Linked DNA regions of Macaca fascicularis. The protein of the gene in region 1 interacts with the protein of each later gene in a pairwise test. Links are inferred from orthologs where the notes say so. Each region holds a gene or a part of one and is shown on either strand. Other genes may lie near its edges.

Evidence for each region.
Region 2: the proteins of LMO2 (region 1) and HNRNPM interact in binary tests that used the Homo sapiens proteins (3 or more experiments, as listed by UniProt). The link is inferred for Macaca fascicularis from reciprocal best matches to the Homo sapiens genes LMO2 and HNRNPM.
Region 3: the proteins of LMO2 (region 1) and ZNF24 interact in binary tests that used the Homo sapiens proteins (3 or more experiments, as listed by UniProt). The two-hybrid records come from large-scale screens. The link is inferred for Macaca fascicularis from reciprocal best matches to the Homo sapiens genes LMO2 and ZNF24.

The regions. Positions count from the first base shown.
Region 1 is NC_088388.1:31,708,768-31,714,634, forward strand, and holds the start of LMO2 (rhombotin-2), read left to right. Parts: upstream 1-2,012; 5' UTR 2,013-2,164; coding exon 2,165-2,171; intron 2,172-2,294; coding exon 2,295-2,520; intron 2,521-5,867. UniProt on the Homo sapiens protein: Acts with TAL1/SCL to regulate red blood cell development. Also acts with LDB1 to maintain erythroid precursors in an immature state.
Region 2 is NC_088393.1:9,176,610-9,180,950, forward strand, and holds part of HNRNPM (heterogeneous nuclear ribonucleoprotein M), read left to right. Parts: intron 1-1,914; coding exon 1,915-2,717; intron 2,718-3,336; coding exon 3,337-3,388; intron 3,389-4,341. UniProt on the Homo sapiens protein: Pre-mRNA binding protein in vivo, binds avidly to poly(G) and poly(U) RNA homopolymers in vitro. Involved in splicing.
Region 3 is NC_088392.1:54,504,749-54,509,847, reverse strand, and holds part of ZNF24 (zinc finger protein 24), read right to left. Parts: exon of another isoform or gene 4,565-5,099; 5' UTR 4,482-4,564; coding exon 4,062-4,481; exon of another isoform or gene 3,809-4,061; coding exon 3,661-3,808; exon of another isoform or gene 3,637-3,660; intron 2,384-3,636; coding exon of another isoform or gene 2,355-2,383; exon of another isoform or gene 2,330-2,354; intron 1,600-2,329; coding exon 1,061-1,599; 3' UTR 1-1,060. UniProt on the Homo sapiens protein: Transcription factor required for myelination of differentiated oligodendrocytes. Required for the conversion of oligodendrocytes from the premyelinating to the myelinating state.

The DNA.
Region 1 (5,867 bases):
CACATTGACTGGTTAAAGTAGGTAAACTGTTCATCACAACCTGTATGTTTATTTTCATTTCTGTTAGAAATGAAAGTAGTGTGGTAGGTTACATATTTATCACATAGTTTCGGCTTGCCTAAAATTCTAAGAATTTTATTTTTTAGATTAAAAACAAGGGTCTATTGGGAAAAAAAAAAGGTTTTTTTTTTTTTTTTTTTTTTGAGACAGGGTCTCACTCTGTTCCCCAGACTGGAGGGCAGTGGTGCGATCATGGCTCACTGCAGCCTCAACGTCCTGGGCTCAAGCAATCCTCCCACCTCTGCCTCCTGAGTAGCTAGGATTTCAGGGAAGCACCACCACACCCAGCTAATTATTTTTCTTTTTTCTTTTTTGTAGGAATGGGGGCTCACTGTGTTGCTCAGGCTAGCCTGGGCCTCCCAGAGTGCTGGGATTACAGGCATGAGCCACCAAGCACAGCCGTAAAAAAGTCTTTTTGTATACTGAAGGCTCCACTTGGACAAAAATTTGCTCTTAAGGCTTTCTTTGAGATACACACACACACACACACACACACACACACACACACACACACACACACACACACACAGCTTTTGATTATACCCATGAGGGACCCAAGCCTTGGGACACAGGGACCAGAAAATGACGAAAGCATGTAGGCAGTAGTAAACTATGGTTATACTTGTAACAAGTCATGAAGCTTTGGCTCTGAACAGGGAAAATGAAGCACTCAGGGATTCACTTCTGACTTCAACTACCATCTTTCAGGGTGAGCTCATCCAGGCCCATGTGCCATCTTGAAAATGGGAACAAAAATGTATGCCTATGATCCAGACTGATCATATAAAACTATGGATCCTGAAAGTACGTTCCCTCTTTGCAAGCCTTAGTGACTGGCATCACGCACAAATAGGCCTTTCAGTTTCTGAACGCAGATATTTTCAAGGACCTCTGAGGCCCAGGAGAGACAAACGTTTTCTCCATGGAAGGGCAGACTATTGGCCTCCCCTCTCTTACCCTCTGTGTTCCTACCTCTTTCTAGAAGGAGGCTGAGAGGGGAAGCCTGAAACCCCAAATCAAGTCCGCCTTCTTTCTCTGTGCCTGACCCAGGGCAAAATAATCTCCCTAATACTGTTCTGGATCACTGGAAAAAACACTTTCTCTGGTCGGGGTACTACTGGCACTTTACATGGGGGGCAGTTTAACCGCAGGAGTCCGCTCTCTGAAAGGTGCTGAGGGAGGGGATTCCGACACCAGCCTACTGAGAGGAGCCCTGGCCCCACGAAGTCCCTCCCAGCCACCCTCCCTCTGGGATTAGCTGCCCTGACTCTGCTCAGGCGTCCCCAGCCCGTGCAGTCCCGGCTCGCGCACCCCCATCGCCTCTGCAGAGCGCGGCCGCAGCCTGGAGCCCGCAGCCGGTAGCCCGCAGAGCCGCGCTGTCCGGGGCATCCCGGTGCTCGGCGTCCGTGGACCTGGGATCTCGAACCTGGGACGGGCTCAAAATCCACTCGGAACACTTGCATTTCTGTAGGTGCTTATTTCACATTCTTGTTTTTTCTTGCTTGCTCGAGCTGTTCGTGGGTTACTTTCTGCCTTAGTTAAACCAAAAGGGAAAGGCTGAAGGGGGGAAGCCCTGAAGAATTATTTAGTGGCTGCCCAGCCTCCTCTCCAAGGAGAGGTGTTAGCTGAGCGGATCTCCCCGTCCCCGACACTGGCCCCTTTAAGAAGCCAAGTCAGTCCTGATGCTGCTGTTTGTATTGCTAATCCCCAGGAGCCCCGTTAAAAAAAAAAAAAAAAAAAAAAGAAGAAGAAGAAGAAAAAAGGGGAGGTGGGGGAACCGGGCAGCTGTCTCTTTAAATGTGATTTCCTTCTATTGTATTTGAATCGTGATCAGGAAAAAGGAAATGAAACCAGAGACAGAGGGAAGCTGAGCGAAAATAGACCTTCCCGAGAGAGGAGGAAGCCCGGGGAGAGACGCACAGTCCCCTCCCCGCCCCCAGGCCGCCGCCCCCGTTCTGCCCTCCGCGGCGAGCAGCGCCCGCTACCCGGGCCGAAGGTGCGAGGGGCTCGGGGCGGCCGGGCGGGCGTGCACCATCCCCGCGGGCGGCGCGGAGCCGGCGACAGCGCGCGAGAGGGACCGGGCGGCGGAGGCGGCGGGACCGGGATGGAAGGTTAAGTCCTGAGCAGCAGCAGCAGCTGCAGCCGCCCAGGGCCAGGCTGCGCGCCCCGGCCCCCGCCTCGGCCGCGGCGCGCCCGCAGCCCGGTGATTCGCTCTCTCTCTTTGGCATTTGAAGGGAGCGCGGTGACTGTCCTTGAGCGCGGAGGGGCGAGCTCGCCGCCGGAGCGCCGGAGCAAGCGGAGGCGCAGGAGCGGCGGCGGCGGCGCCCGAGCACCCGAGGGGGTCCGAGCCCCGGCAGCCGGCCAGCCCCGCGCCACAAAGGGAGCGCCCCTGCCGCCCGGCACGCCGCCTCCCTCCCCAATGTCCTCGGCCATCGAAAGGAAGAGCCTGGACCCTTCAGAGTAAGTGCGGCGCCCCTGCCCCTGCCACCCCCGGTGTCCACGGCCTCGCGTCCCGGAGCGGCTGGGGGACCCGGGCGGCCCTCGAGGGGACTCCAGGTGCGCGCCTGCGGCGTGCTCTTGGCCCCCTGTGCGGAGCGCTGGGCTCCCTCTTCCTCCCGGGTGACTTCGGGGGCGCTGGGAGAGGGACTGGGCGGTGGGCGGCAGGGAGAGGGGTCGGCTCGGCGCCTCTGCGGGCCACTCCAGGCTATCAGGACGCTGCCTAAAGCCACCGCGGGCCAGAAAGTTTGCACGGGAGCAGGCACAAGGGGAGCCTGGCGGCGTGCAGGTGCAGTCCGGAGAGCGTTCCATGCTTGACTCGGCTCCCTTCTCACCTCTCCTTCTCGGCCCTTTCTCTTTGTCCATTTGGTCTTGGAAAGGGGAACATTCCAAGTGGAGGCCTCCAGGGTCCCCAGCGGCCGCCTCCCCGGTCCGCAGGTGGAGCCGCTGCCAGCCGCGCGGGTAACGGGCGGGTGAGGGGTCCGACGGTCCACCTCGGAGCTGGCTCTGGGCCTCCGGGGATTTCTAGAGCAGCGAAATCCGGAGTAAATCTGAGTACGTGTAGCCCTCCTCGGGGTCCACCGATGGGGGCCTGTGAACCTCGAAAGTTAATGCACCATTTTGTGTACAGGTGAATTCTTCTAGGGAGTAGAGTCTCGTAGTTTTTAGCATAGTCTCAAAAGCGTTTGGGGTCAGGGAACCAGAGCTCTAATGAGCATTGACCGCATCTGTTTTCTGAGCCTCGTACTGGTTTGGAATGTTTTTCTATCTCTCACCAATTCTTTAGTGTTAACATGGGTAGCAAGGGGTGTTTAAGATATCATTTTCCTGTCAACGCAAATGCCCTTTTAAGAGTCATTAGCTGTCTGGTTTTGAGAATTTTTATTCCTTTGAAGTCCCCCTCTAATCCTTTGAAGGGATTTGTTACACAAGACCAAAGGAGCTGGTTAATGACTTGTCCATTTGTGCTTTTAAGAGACATTTGTTTTGTTTTTTCTTTTCCTGGTTTAAAAGAATTGTGCTTTCCTGCTTGAAATACCGCACACACACACACATACACCCTTCAATTTCGGCTTTCTATGGTGTTTATTTACCTGGGTTTTACCCTCAGTTAGCAGCATAAAAGCTCAGCATGTTCTCATAAAACACAGGAAGTACCACCATCCAATGAGAATATAAACATCACTATTCCGTCTTGAAGGTTAAGACACCAGTTCTGTAATGAGCTAGGTTTGTTGTAGCAAAAACCCCCACTTCCTTCAACAAATTCTCAGGAGAAAAATAACATTTCTTTTTAAAAGTATGTTTATGTCAACAATGGGTTTAAAGGGTGGTTTGATCACTTTTTTAAAAATAAACTTAAAATTACAACTGAGCTTTGAGTTTCAGAGACTGGGCAAGATCATAGTAACACAATAAGGGAGTGAATTGGATGAATTGGTGCCTCATGCCTTTTTGATCAGCAGAATTTAGTCACTAATCCTTTCAATAGAAGGTAAATCTGAAGGTTTCATTTCCCTGAAGGAAGTTTGCGTCTTTCAAAGTTTGTGCTTTTTCACTGAGGTTAGAAAACTGAAACATCCTAACTTCCTAACACAGCAGGTATCTACTGCTGGAGGCTCACCAGCTCCTTCCTTCACTTCACTATTTGCCCAGCGAAGATAGTTTCTGATCAAAGAGGGACAAGCTAGTTGAGAAATTGCAGCAGCACATTCTCCACCCCCTTAGAAATTGTTATGATTATCCCAGAAATCCAGGCTGAAGTGATACTCAGGTGTAATATTCAAGATAAGGGTCTGGGAGAATATAAAATATTAATTTGAGGGTGAATCAACCTCATTCATTGTCTTGGATTGCCCACTAAGTATAATGTGATATTATCAATTAATTATAGAAAGACAGAGCCAATATCTTATACTTTACTTCTCCATCTCATCTCAGGCCATCACCATAACTCTTTTACTTTACGTTCCTCCTGTTGTCCAGTATCCTACTAGATGCTTCATTGTGTACTTCCTCAAAGCCGACTTGGGTCATTACAATCAGCATCTCCAAATTACAGATGGAGACTTGCCTAGCTATATGCAAATGAAACATTTGGACAGAAAGCCAGCCAGAATTCATGAACACAGAGATTCCCTTGCTATGCCACTGGTGGCCCCCACTGCCTCCCCTGTGAGTAACAAGAGCAGTTCATTTGAATTCCAGGCAGTTTTGCACCAGCTAAGGGCAAATTATCCTCTTTCACAGTCCTTTGGCAGCATCTGCATCGGGACATCCAATGTCTGTCGAGGTCCCATGAGTGGTTTTGAAAGCCCAGAGTAAGACCATGGGCTGTGGAAAGAGAAGAGATGCAATTCCGAGTTGATACACATAAAAACGCTAGGGTATTACTTATTAGAAGGGAAAATGGCAGTCCTTATATACAATCTGTAGAAACAAAGGAAAGAAAGCAAGGCTTCAGTGAATGAAACCCTGTCTCTACTAAAAATACAAAAAATTAGCTGGGCCTGGTGGCGGATGCCTGTAATCCCAGCTACTTGGGAGGCTGAGGCAGGAGAATGGCGCGAACCCAGGAGGTGGAGCTTGCAGTGAGCCGAGATCGTGCCACTGCACTCCAGCCTGGGCTACAAATTTGTAGCAAGACTCTGTCTCAAAAAAAAAAAAAAAAAAAAGAAACTATAGTTTTGATTTTTTTGAGCTAGGGTCTCACTGTGTTGTCTAGGCTAGAGTGCAGTGCTCACTGCAGCCTCAACTTCCTGTACTGAGGTGATCCTCCCACCTCAGCCTCCTGGGTAGCTGGGACTACAGGCTCATGCCACCAAGCCTGGGCAATTTTTTATATTTTTTGTAGAGACAGGATTTTGCCATGTTGCCCGGGCTGGCCTCAAACTCCTGGGCTCAAGTGATCCTCCTGCCTTGGCCTCCCAAAGTGCTGGGATTACAAACGTGAGCCACTGTGCCTGGCCATTTTTTTTTTTTCCCAGATAAACTAACTTGAACTTCACATTTTCTTGTTCCAAAGATGATAATCTCATGAAGTGCTATTACACTGTATCTAGAAAGTGTGGGCATGGCTTTAACACTCCTAAATATTCACAAGAAAGGCTTCATTCTTCACATGACAGAATCCTCTGAAGTTGTCAAGAGTGTTATAGACATTGAGCCACCTAGCCTCCTGTCCCCAAGTATAATGACTGCTGGGCTTTGTGGGCTCAGACCAATTAGGACACAAGGTCACCTGGTAAGTTAATACTAGTTAGAAATAGGAGACGTGGATTTATACCTGCAGGGCACCCAGGAGGAAACTC
Region 2 (4,341 bases), on another chromosome or scaffold:
TTATGAATACTGAGAACAAAATGTACTTTTTGAGTATTTTTGGAGACAGAGTTTCGCTCTGTCGCCCAGGCTGGAGTGCTGTGGCGCAATCTCGGCTCACTGCAGCCTTGACTTCCCAGGCCTAAGCAATTCTCCCACTTTAGCCTCCCAAGTAGCTGGGACTACAGGCGCATGCCACTTGGCTTGGCTGATTTTTTGATTTTTTGTAGAGATGGCATTTTGACATGTTATCCAGGCTTATCTCAAACTCCTGGCCTCAGTTGAACTGCACACCTCCAGAGTGCTGGGATGACAGATGTGAGCCGCCACACCCGGCCCGAATGTACTTTTTCAGCCTGATTTTCCCTCTGAGTGTCTTGGCATCTCACCTCCTGACATCTGTGTTGGGCTGGCTCTGGAGCTCCACACCGGCACCATTTCTTCCCAGTCTTTTGCTTCTGTTGGCATTGGGAGTTGCCCTGCCTCATTTCTTTCTTTTTTTTTTTTTTGGAGACGGAGTCTCACCCTGTCGCCCAGGCTAGAGTGCAGTGGCACGATCTCAGCTCACTCTAACCTCCGTCTCCCGGGTTCAAGTGATTCTCCTGCCTCAGCCTTCTGACTAGCTGGGACTAAGGCGCTCGCCACCATGCCCAGCTAATTTTTGCAGTTTTAGTAGAGATTGGGTTTCACCATGTTGGCCAGGCTGGTCTCGAACTCCTCACCTTGTTCCGCCCGCCTCAGCCTCCCAAAGTGCTGGGATTACAGGCATGAGCCACCACATCCAGCCGCCCCACCTCATTTCTGATGCCTTTGGGCAAAGTGCCCATTCTCGCTAGGTTCCTTATACTGTGGGGAAGTTCTGAGACGTCTCCCCTCTGAAAGTCACACATTCTTAAAGTTGGGCCTGCTTTTTGTCTCTCAGTGTGCTGCTCTGCAGCTAAGGAAGCAAGTACGGAGCAACAGAGAGACTTGTCTGTGGTCAGTTGTAGAGCCAATTAGAGAAACTGCTGAGTTTCCTCTTGAATTGGAATTTTTGACTAGGCTGCTTGGGTCAGTCACAGGCTGGCTCTGGGCTGATGGCCACTCTCAGAGGCAAACGACAGGGTTTCGGGGAGGAGCCCCAAGCTCGGCATGTGGAAAGGGGTGGCCTTGCTGATGGAGCCAGACCCTTGCTTTCCAGAGTTGCAAGCACTACGGGTGGGGGGTCCCTTTGTTCTGCTGGCTGACCCCCAGCTGCCACCAGAGCCCAGTCTGCAGTTCCATCAACATCTTCTTTCCAAAGCCAGCAGATCATTTGGTTTCTGTAATAATAAGGTCCCCAGAAGTGGCCAGTTGTGTGCATTTGTACACAGAGGATCTCTCGGTGTGTGTTTTTTGACCTCTGCTTGATGGTGTGGCCGAAAATCCTTCTCTGTTCCCTGGAAGCGCTGAGGAAACGCAGCCAGAGTGGCCCCCAGCAGAGCATCCGAGAGGGACAGGGTGGGAGGGGAAGGTGGGAGTAACTTGGACTTGTCTCCACGTAACTCCTGTTCATTACCCTGGGTGGCCTTCTGAGTGGGGGGTGTCCTTGCCTCCCCCTGGAGCATTTCTCAGTGTCTGCTGATGGAGAAACCTCAGAGGTCTCAGGAATTGACATCCATGGTTCACAAAGCTTGTCACAGACACTAGCACCTCACAGACACACATACAGGGGTGTTCTTTAGAAGTTGTGTTATGGAAATCTCAGCTGTGGCATAGAGCAGAGAGAATGCTGGGAGGCCCTCATGAGTCCATCACCCAGCTGTAGCTGTTGTCAACATTTGAGGGGTGTCTTAACGGTAAATTATGGTGGGCCTTTACCCCGATCCATGCCCATGAGCTGAAGTGGTCTGGCGTGTTGTACACACGCATACTTAAGTTCTTGACACCAACCTGTGTTTTGTGTCCCTGTTTCAGGTGGAGGTGGAGGAAGCGTCCCTGGGATCGAGAGGATGGGTCCTGGCATTGACCGCCTCGGGGGTGCCGGCATGGAGCGCATGGGCGCAGGCCTGGGCCACGGCATGGATCGCGTGGGCTCCGAGATCGAGCGCATGGGCCTGGTCATGGACCGCATGGGCTCCGTGGAGCGCATGGGCTCCGGCATTGAGCGCATGGGCCCGCTGGGCCTTGACCACATGGCGTCTAGCATCGAGCGCATGGGCCAGACGATGGAGCGCATAGGCTCAGGCGTGGAGCGCATGGGTGCCGGCATGGGCTTCGGCCTTGAGCGCATGGCCGCTCCCATCGACCGTGTGGGCCAGACCATTGAGCGCATGGGCTCTGGCGTGGAGCGCATGGGCCCTGCCATTGAGCGCATGGGCCTGAGCATGGAGCGCATGGTGCCCGCAGGTATGGGGGCTGGCCTGGAGCGCATGGGCCCCGTGATGGATCGCATGGCCACCGGCCTGGAGCGCATGGGCGCCAACAACCTGGAGCGGATGGGCCTGGAGCGCATGGGCGCCAACAGCCTCGAGCGCATGGGCCTGGAGCGCATGGGTGCCAACAGCCTCGAGCGCATGGGCCCCGCCATGGGCCCGGCCCTGGGCGCTGGCATTGAGCGCATGGGCCTGGCCATGGGTGGCGGTGGCGGTGCCAGCTTTGACCGTGCCATCGAGATGGAGCGTGGCAACTTTGGAGGAAGTTTCGCAGGCTCCTTTGGTGGAGCTGGAGGCCATGCTCCTGGGGTGGCCAGGAAGGCCTGCCAGATATTTGTGAGAAATGTAAGTGGCTCTTGGGGAACTTCTTGGTGGTGGTGAGCATGAGGGGACAGGGGAGACAAAGATCAGCAGGATGAAGTCAGAGGTGGCGCCCTCCAAAGAGGACCACATCTCCTTGCTCCTGTCCCAAACGTTTTATGCTAGTGGGACAAGTAAGGAATGTGAGAACTGTGGGTTCTGGAAGAGCCTGGGCTTCTCCACTGCGCTAGAATATGGAGCAGACTCTGAGCTCAGAGACTGCAGTTTCTGATTGCTTGGCTTGAAGAGGCACTGTGTCTTGCACAGTGATCCAGGGAAAGAAGTGGCTGTAACGGAATTATTTTCCCCAGCTCAGCCACTCTTAGCCACTATTTAGTGACTGTGGGCTGCGCACCACAGGCCCAAGCGTCCCATCCTGCACAGTGCTCCCACAGTCTGAGCCCCAGGGAGGGAGCTGGCTGTGCCACTTCACAGCCTTGTCCCACGTGGACCTATTAGTTCCCTGCTGATCGCCTCAGTCTGAAGAGCAGCCAGCTTCTTGGTATAGTAAGAAATCTAGTGTAGCCCTCAGAGTCAGCTGCAAGGCGTGCCTTAGGATTTGGTTTAATCACACATCAGTCTCCCTTTTTTCCTTCCTCCTTAGCTCCCATTCGATTTCACATGGAAGATGCTGAAGGACAAATTCAACGAGTGTGGTAAGTGTTGGGAACGGCTTTCTAGGTGCCTCCCTCATGCTTACTGGTGATGCAGCCAAGTCAGCAGCAAAGCCTCCCTCCCAGCCCCCTCCATCAGCTCAGGACCCATGGCCTTGCCATTGTTCTGCCCACGCCAGTGCTCAGGCAGGTTGTTGAGTGTCCTGTGATGTGTCGCACGTTTTTCACCTGTGTTCTCATTTCATCCTAATTTCCTTTTTTCTTCCTTTTTGAGGCTTTTGAAACAAGGTAGTAGTGTCCCCATTTCACAGATGACTCAGTCTTCTCAGGTCACCTGGCTTCTAGGTGGCAACGCTAAATAAAAACATCCCAGACGAGGGAGGTAGCTTTCCCCTTAGCACAGCTGGTTCAGGGCCTCGGAGAGAACACCTAGCCCAGCAGGTGCCATGGGGAGGCGCTGCAGGCTCTGGGCACACAGCAGCTCCTGTGAGGATGAGGCTAAGGTCTCCTGGTTTCCTGGCACATCCTGCTACTCTTCTGGAGGGCTCCTTCTGTGGCTGAAAGCAAGTTGTCTTCCTTCCCTGCCCTCCAGGGTGAGCCTCCACCCCTCATGCACCACCTCTGTTCTTTTTAGCTAGAGGGGCCTGAGCTAGAGGACCGGGCGGCTGCTTCCGCACTGCCCTCCCGCTTCCTGTTTCAGCAGTGGCTCTGATTTCACCACCATTGCTGCTTCTCCATGGTTCTTGGGGCAAGCCGTTGAGTCATGACGTGCCTCTTTGCCCCGTTCTTTACCTCTTTCCCCACTCCTGAGTTTCCACGTTGTAGCTAGATATTCTGAAAAGGCCAGTGGGATCACAGCATCCCCAACCCCCACTTTTGCAATGCCTGGAGGGGCCCTGTACCTTCAAGAGGAAGTCCAGACTCACAAGCCTCTTGAAGATTTGGTCCCATCCTCCTCCATCTCCCTCCTGTCCCAGAACCTGAGCGGCAAGTGC
Region 3 (5,099 bases), on another chromosome or scaffold:
GTACCTAGCACAGTGCCTTGTCGGTAGAAAATGTTTAATAAACACATGGCTGCTTTTTTAGCCTGATGTTCAACCCTTTTGTACCAAAGGAATAAAAAATAGGTAACCTGATACTTGTCCTCCTGTCAGGGAATTTTCTATCCTTAGCAAAGATGAAGGCAAAATAATGATGAATTTGATCATCTTTTTCTAAAAGCCATGACAGACCATTACCCTTATGTTTACATTTGCCCTTCAACACTGCCATCCACTACAAATTATTTCCCTAGTGTTATAATTTCTACCTTCATTATTTTACAAGTGTTTATTGTTTAGACTGTATGCTTTTTAATAATATATGGGAAAACATTATTTTCATTAGTAAGATGACTCCAAATTATAGAGAGGATGAGTAGCTTTTGAATTTTCCTGCAGGCAGAATATAAATTCTTGATACACTTCAATTCTGAGATCAAATTATTTGTATATCTTCCCCAATCAAGGTGTTCCATTCACTTTTGATGTTTTATCACCATCACTTCTTATCTGAGATCTTATGGCTCATTTTGAGGCTCTTAGCCATCCATTATCCTCTATTTTCTCAAATGCATATTCAAATTAGGTAAAAGGAAACAAGCGTAAATTTTTAAAAGATCGTTTAAAATGGTTTTCAGACTTTGTAATTCCTGTTGCCTTTTAATATATAAGGGAATGTATCCTTATAAAGAACATTTCAATGATCAATGCAGAAATAACATATTTGTCTTTAAAAAAAAAAAAGGAAACTTTCAAGAAAGGGACAATGAATCAGGTAGTTCATTATTTGGAGAATAGAGACATAAACATCACATGGAAAATTTAGGCATTCAGACCTGAATTAAGTTTAAAATTTCAGTTTCTAGGCAGGTACGACACCATTTCTTCAAGATAAAATCATAATGGTGAGTGAAGATTTTTACATTTCCCAGTGGATTTTCTGACAGTCAATAGGGAAAAAACTATTCTGCATCATTTCATATTTTAAATTTTGTCTTCATTTCTGAAGAAAAAGACCTGAGTGCTGATTTTTTTTTTCAATTTCTTAAACTTTCACAACATTCAGAAGTTTTTCTGCATTGTGTCTTCTCTGATGTCTAAAAAGATTTGAGCTTTGACTATACGATTTCCCACACTGAACGCATTCATAAGGTTTCTCCCCAGTATGGATTCTCTGATGATTAATAAGCCCCGAATTCTGGCTAAAGGCTTTCCCACATTCAAGACATTTGTAAGGTTTTTCTCCAGTGTGGACTCTCTGGTGTTGCACAAGAATGGAACTTCGGCTGAATGCTTTCCCACACTCAACACATCCATAAGGTTTCTCCCCACTGTGAATTCTTTGATGAAGAATAAGGGCTGAGCCCTGACTGAAGTGTTTTCCACATTCATCGCATATATGTTGTTTCTTTCGAGAGGGATTTCTCTTTCTTTCAAATCTGCCCTTGGGGAAACAGGTTTCTCCATATTTAAAAATCTGAGGAACACTCATATTGAGAGTACCAGGAACTTCATGGGATTCTACTGCTGAAGGAAGCTCCTGCTTTGGAGCTAGTGCTCCATTTTCAGTCCTACCATCATCATCTGAAAAAAACAGAAAATGTAAATATCATTCATTATCTATTAAGGGAAAAAGAAACCGAAAAAAAATTTTTTTAATGAATTAAATAGCTTGCACACATCTATAAACCACTCTGAAACGGTGTTAAGGCCTGTTCTCAAAAAAGAAAAAATGAAATTACTCTGAAATAACAGTATAACATCATGATATAAGAGATCTCTGAATAAAACATAGGCAAGTGGTTTATAAACGGTAGTCAGAAAACAAAGGGCAGAAAGAAGGTAGATTCTAAGATGGTTAGGGAGATAGTCAAAGTTATGTGGCTAGGTATGGATGAAACGTTGTAAGAATAAAAACAAAATAAAATTGGCCACTAGGAAATCATTATAATGTTCTTTTGCTTTGAGAAAGGGAGACATCAAAATACAAAGACATAAATTTTAAAAACCTATCAGAAAGTGGCTATTTCTGAAATGAACAAGACAAGTCAGGTCACAGCCAATGTTAGGCTAAAAGCAGAACACAGGAGTCTTGACAAGAAGGGGCTGAAGATAAGCTGGGGGCATCCTGTGTTAACCAAACACATGACATAAAAATTCAGTATGCCCCTAATAAATGAAAGTTTTCCAATAAAAGAAGCTTGCCCCATGTGATATTTGTCATGGTACTTAGAAAAATGGTTATTTCTAAGCCAGTGAAACGTGTCCAATGAAAGAAAAGCCTGAATTACCAACAGGTAGTAGCATCACTCACATGCAGGCAGAGATAACGGCAAGTGTCATTTAAGACTCTTCTGAAACTTCATGCCTTAAGGAGTAAAGATACAGTTAATCTAGGGTTAGCAACTGCCTTCAGTGAAGAGGGAAATAGTAAATAATTAACAAAAAGATAAAGTCAGGAGATAAGGCTAAGAGAGAGAGACTGAAAGGTTAGAGGACAGTGAGGTTTGGAGACTTGAAAAACAGAGGAGTGAGTTTGAAGATTAAGTGGAGACAAACGGCACACAGGAAACAGAAATTCCCAAGTGTGGAAGAGACTAGACAGCTGAAATAAGGCTATTTAAACATAGGTGAAAAGTCACTCTAAAATTCAGATGATGAGAAGTTGAAAATATCAACCCCATATATCAAGAATGATGCTTCTCAAACTTTACTGCACAGAAGAATGTCCCATGAAACATGTAAAACTGCAGATTTTCAGCAGACTTCAGCCCCACCCCAAAACTTCTGATTGGCTGGCACTGTCCCCTCAGATGTGAAGAAAACCTGCTCAGACCTCATTCAGTGACATATAAGCACCATCTCCAACTACCTCAAGGAATGGTTACTAAAGCAGAGTCAAACAAAATTTCATTTTAGTTCACATAAACATGAGAAAGCAATCTAGCAGTTTTAGGAATATACTGGGCCATATCAAAGGATACACATAAGTATATGGTGTTAATGACCAATATATTGGGAAAGACCAGTCTCGTGAATTAATACAACTTTGAGCTTTTAGAAAAGCTTTTTCTGCATTTAAAGCATGTTATAGCTAAGAAGGCTTTTTTGCGTAAATACTTAGAAAAAGGAAAAAAATCACTCCGAATATAATTTCTACAAAAGAAGCTTCTTAGAAGAAAATGACTCTAGGTAGATGCTGAAGAAAATCAGAAATAAATATTTGGAAAGACTTCAGTGATATACAACAGAGAGATGAGAAAAGGTTTTCAGGTAAGCTTACTGTACCAATGGAATTAGGCAGGAGATTGAAAGTAAAAGGATGGAAAATGGATGACAAGTAATACTGAATGTAAAATAGAGGGACTTGGTCCACGGGTGGGTGCTGGCTCAAAGTAAGGCAAATGCTAGCCTGACATGGGCAACTCTTTTTAGGAAGGAAACTCAAAGGGAAGAAAAGGCTGAAGATGTTAATGTGTAGGAATAAAAGATCTGAGGCCAGCAAAATCAACTTAATCAGAAAAAAACTGAGATCTTAGATTAAGAGTGATATGATCCCCCCAACCAGTGAGAACAAGCAAAGTTCGGAACAAACGGCCTACGCTCTCTTTCACCCTCTAGTCCACACAGAGTTCTGGTCCTCACCACAGTGCCTTAGGGAATGGAGCTCCCAGGATGCCCACTTGAGCTGGTTCTCCACAGCATCAAGCTCAGAACTTGGTAATCCCTGAGCTGCTTCTTGAGATACCATGTCTTCTACTAGTACTTCCCGTTTTCGTCGACGGAGAGAAACCTGGAAACAGAAAGATGTGATTCAGAGAAGGAACTGTAATGAGAATCAGAACTAAAAACATGTAAGAGAAACCCCATAAAACAAATATTGCAGAAGCCTAGATGGCAAAGAAGCACAGATAACAGGGAGTGGTAGGGGCATGGGGGAAAAGGTATAAACCTAATTCTAATTTAGTTGAGTGGAATTAATTCAGCAGCTTTGCCTACTACTATGCCAGTGCTTCTGACCCAGGAAATGACACAAGCAGGCTCACCGGTTGTCCAGGGTCATCAAGTTCACTCTCCAAATCCTCCAGCACTGTCACTGCCTCCTCTCCATTCTCTGGATGATGATCTCGAACCCAAGTCTGTAGCTCTTTGGGTAGGATGGCAACAAACTGCTCCAGCACTACCAGTTCCAAGATTTGCTCTTTTGTGTGCGTCTCTGGCCTGAGCCACAGACGGCAAAGTTCTCGGAGCTGGCTCACAGCCTCACGGGGCCCAGGTGAATCCTGGTATCCAAACTGCCTGAATCGCTGTCGGAAAATCTCTGGGTCTGGGAGATGGTTCCAGGGGATACTTGATCCCTCTTCGCCATCAGGATCCTCCTCCAACTTCACTCTCAGAATTTTTTCCTCTTCATCTGGAGTTGGGATGATAAGTATTGAATCTTCTTCCACTGACTGTGCAGACATTCTGATTTATAATATTTCAAGAAAATACAACTGAGGCAGAATATAAGCCTCAGGGCAATACCCCGTTTTCTTCACAGGCACTCCTGAGGCACAAGAAATAAAAGATATATAAATAAGCAAAAATATCCTAAGAATTTGGACTTACACTGGTAAAAGTAAAAGATACTTGTTCTTTGATGGAGTTAAAAATTCCAGTCAATAACCTACACTAGGAATTGGCAAACTACAGCTTCGCGGCCAAATCTAGCCTGTCACCCATTGCTGTACAACTCTTGCACCAATAATAATTTTCACATTTTTAAATGGCTGTGGTCTTCACCACAGTGCCTTAGGGAATGGAGCTCTCTAAAATCAAATGAATACCTAATGATATTTAGGGAATGGAGCTCCCCAAAGTCAAATGAATACCTCATGACAAGTGAAAATGATACGAAATTAACATGAATGTGTCCATAAAAAATTGTACTTACTCATACTTCACGCTACAATAGCAGAGTTGAGTAGTTTCAACAGACTAGATGGCCTAAAAAAAACCCAACACAGTCATGCACTACAAAATGATGTTTGGAGGCCGGGCGCGGTGGCTCAAGCCTGTAATCCCAGCACTTTGAGAGGCCG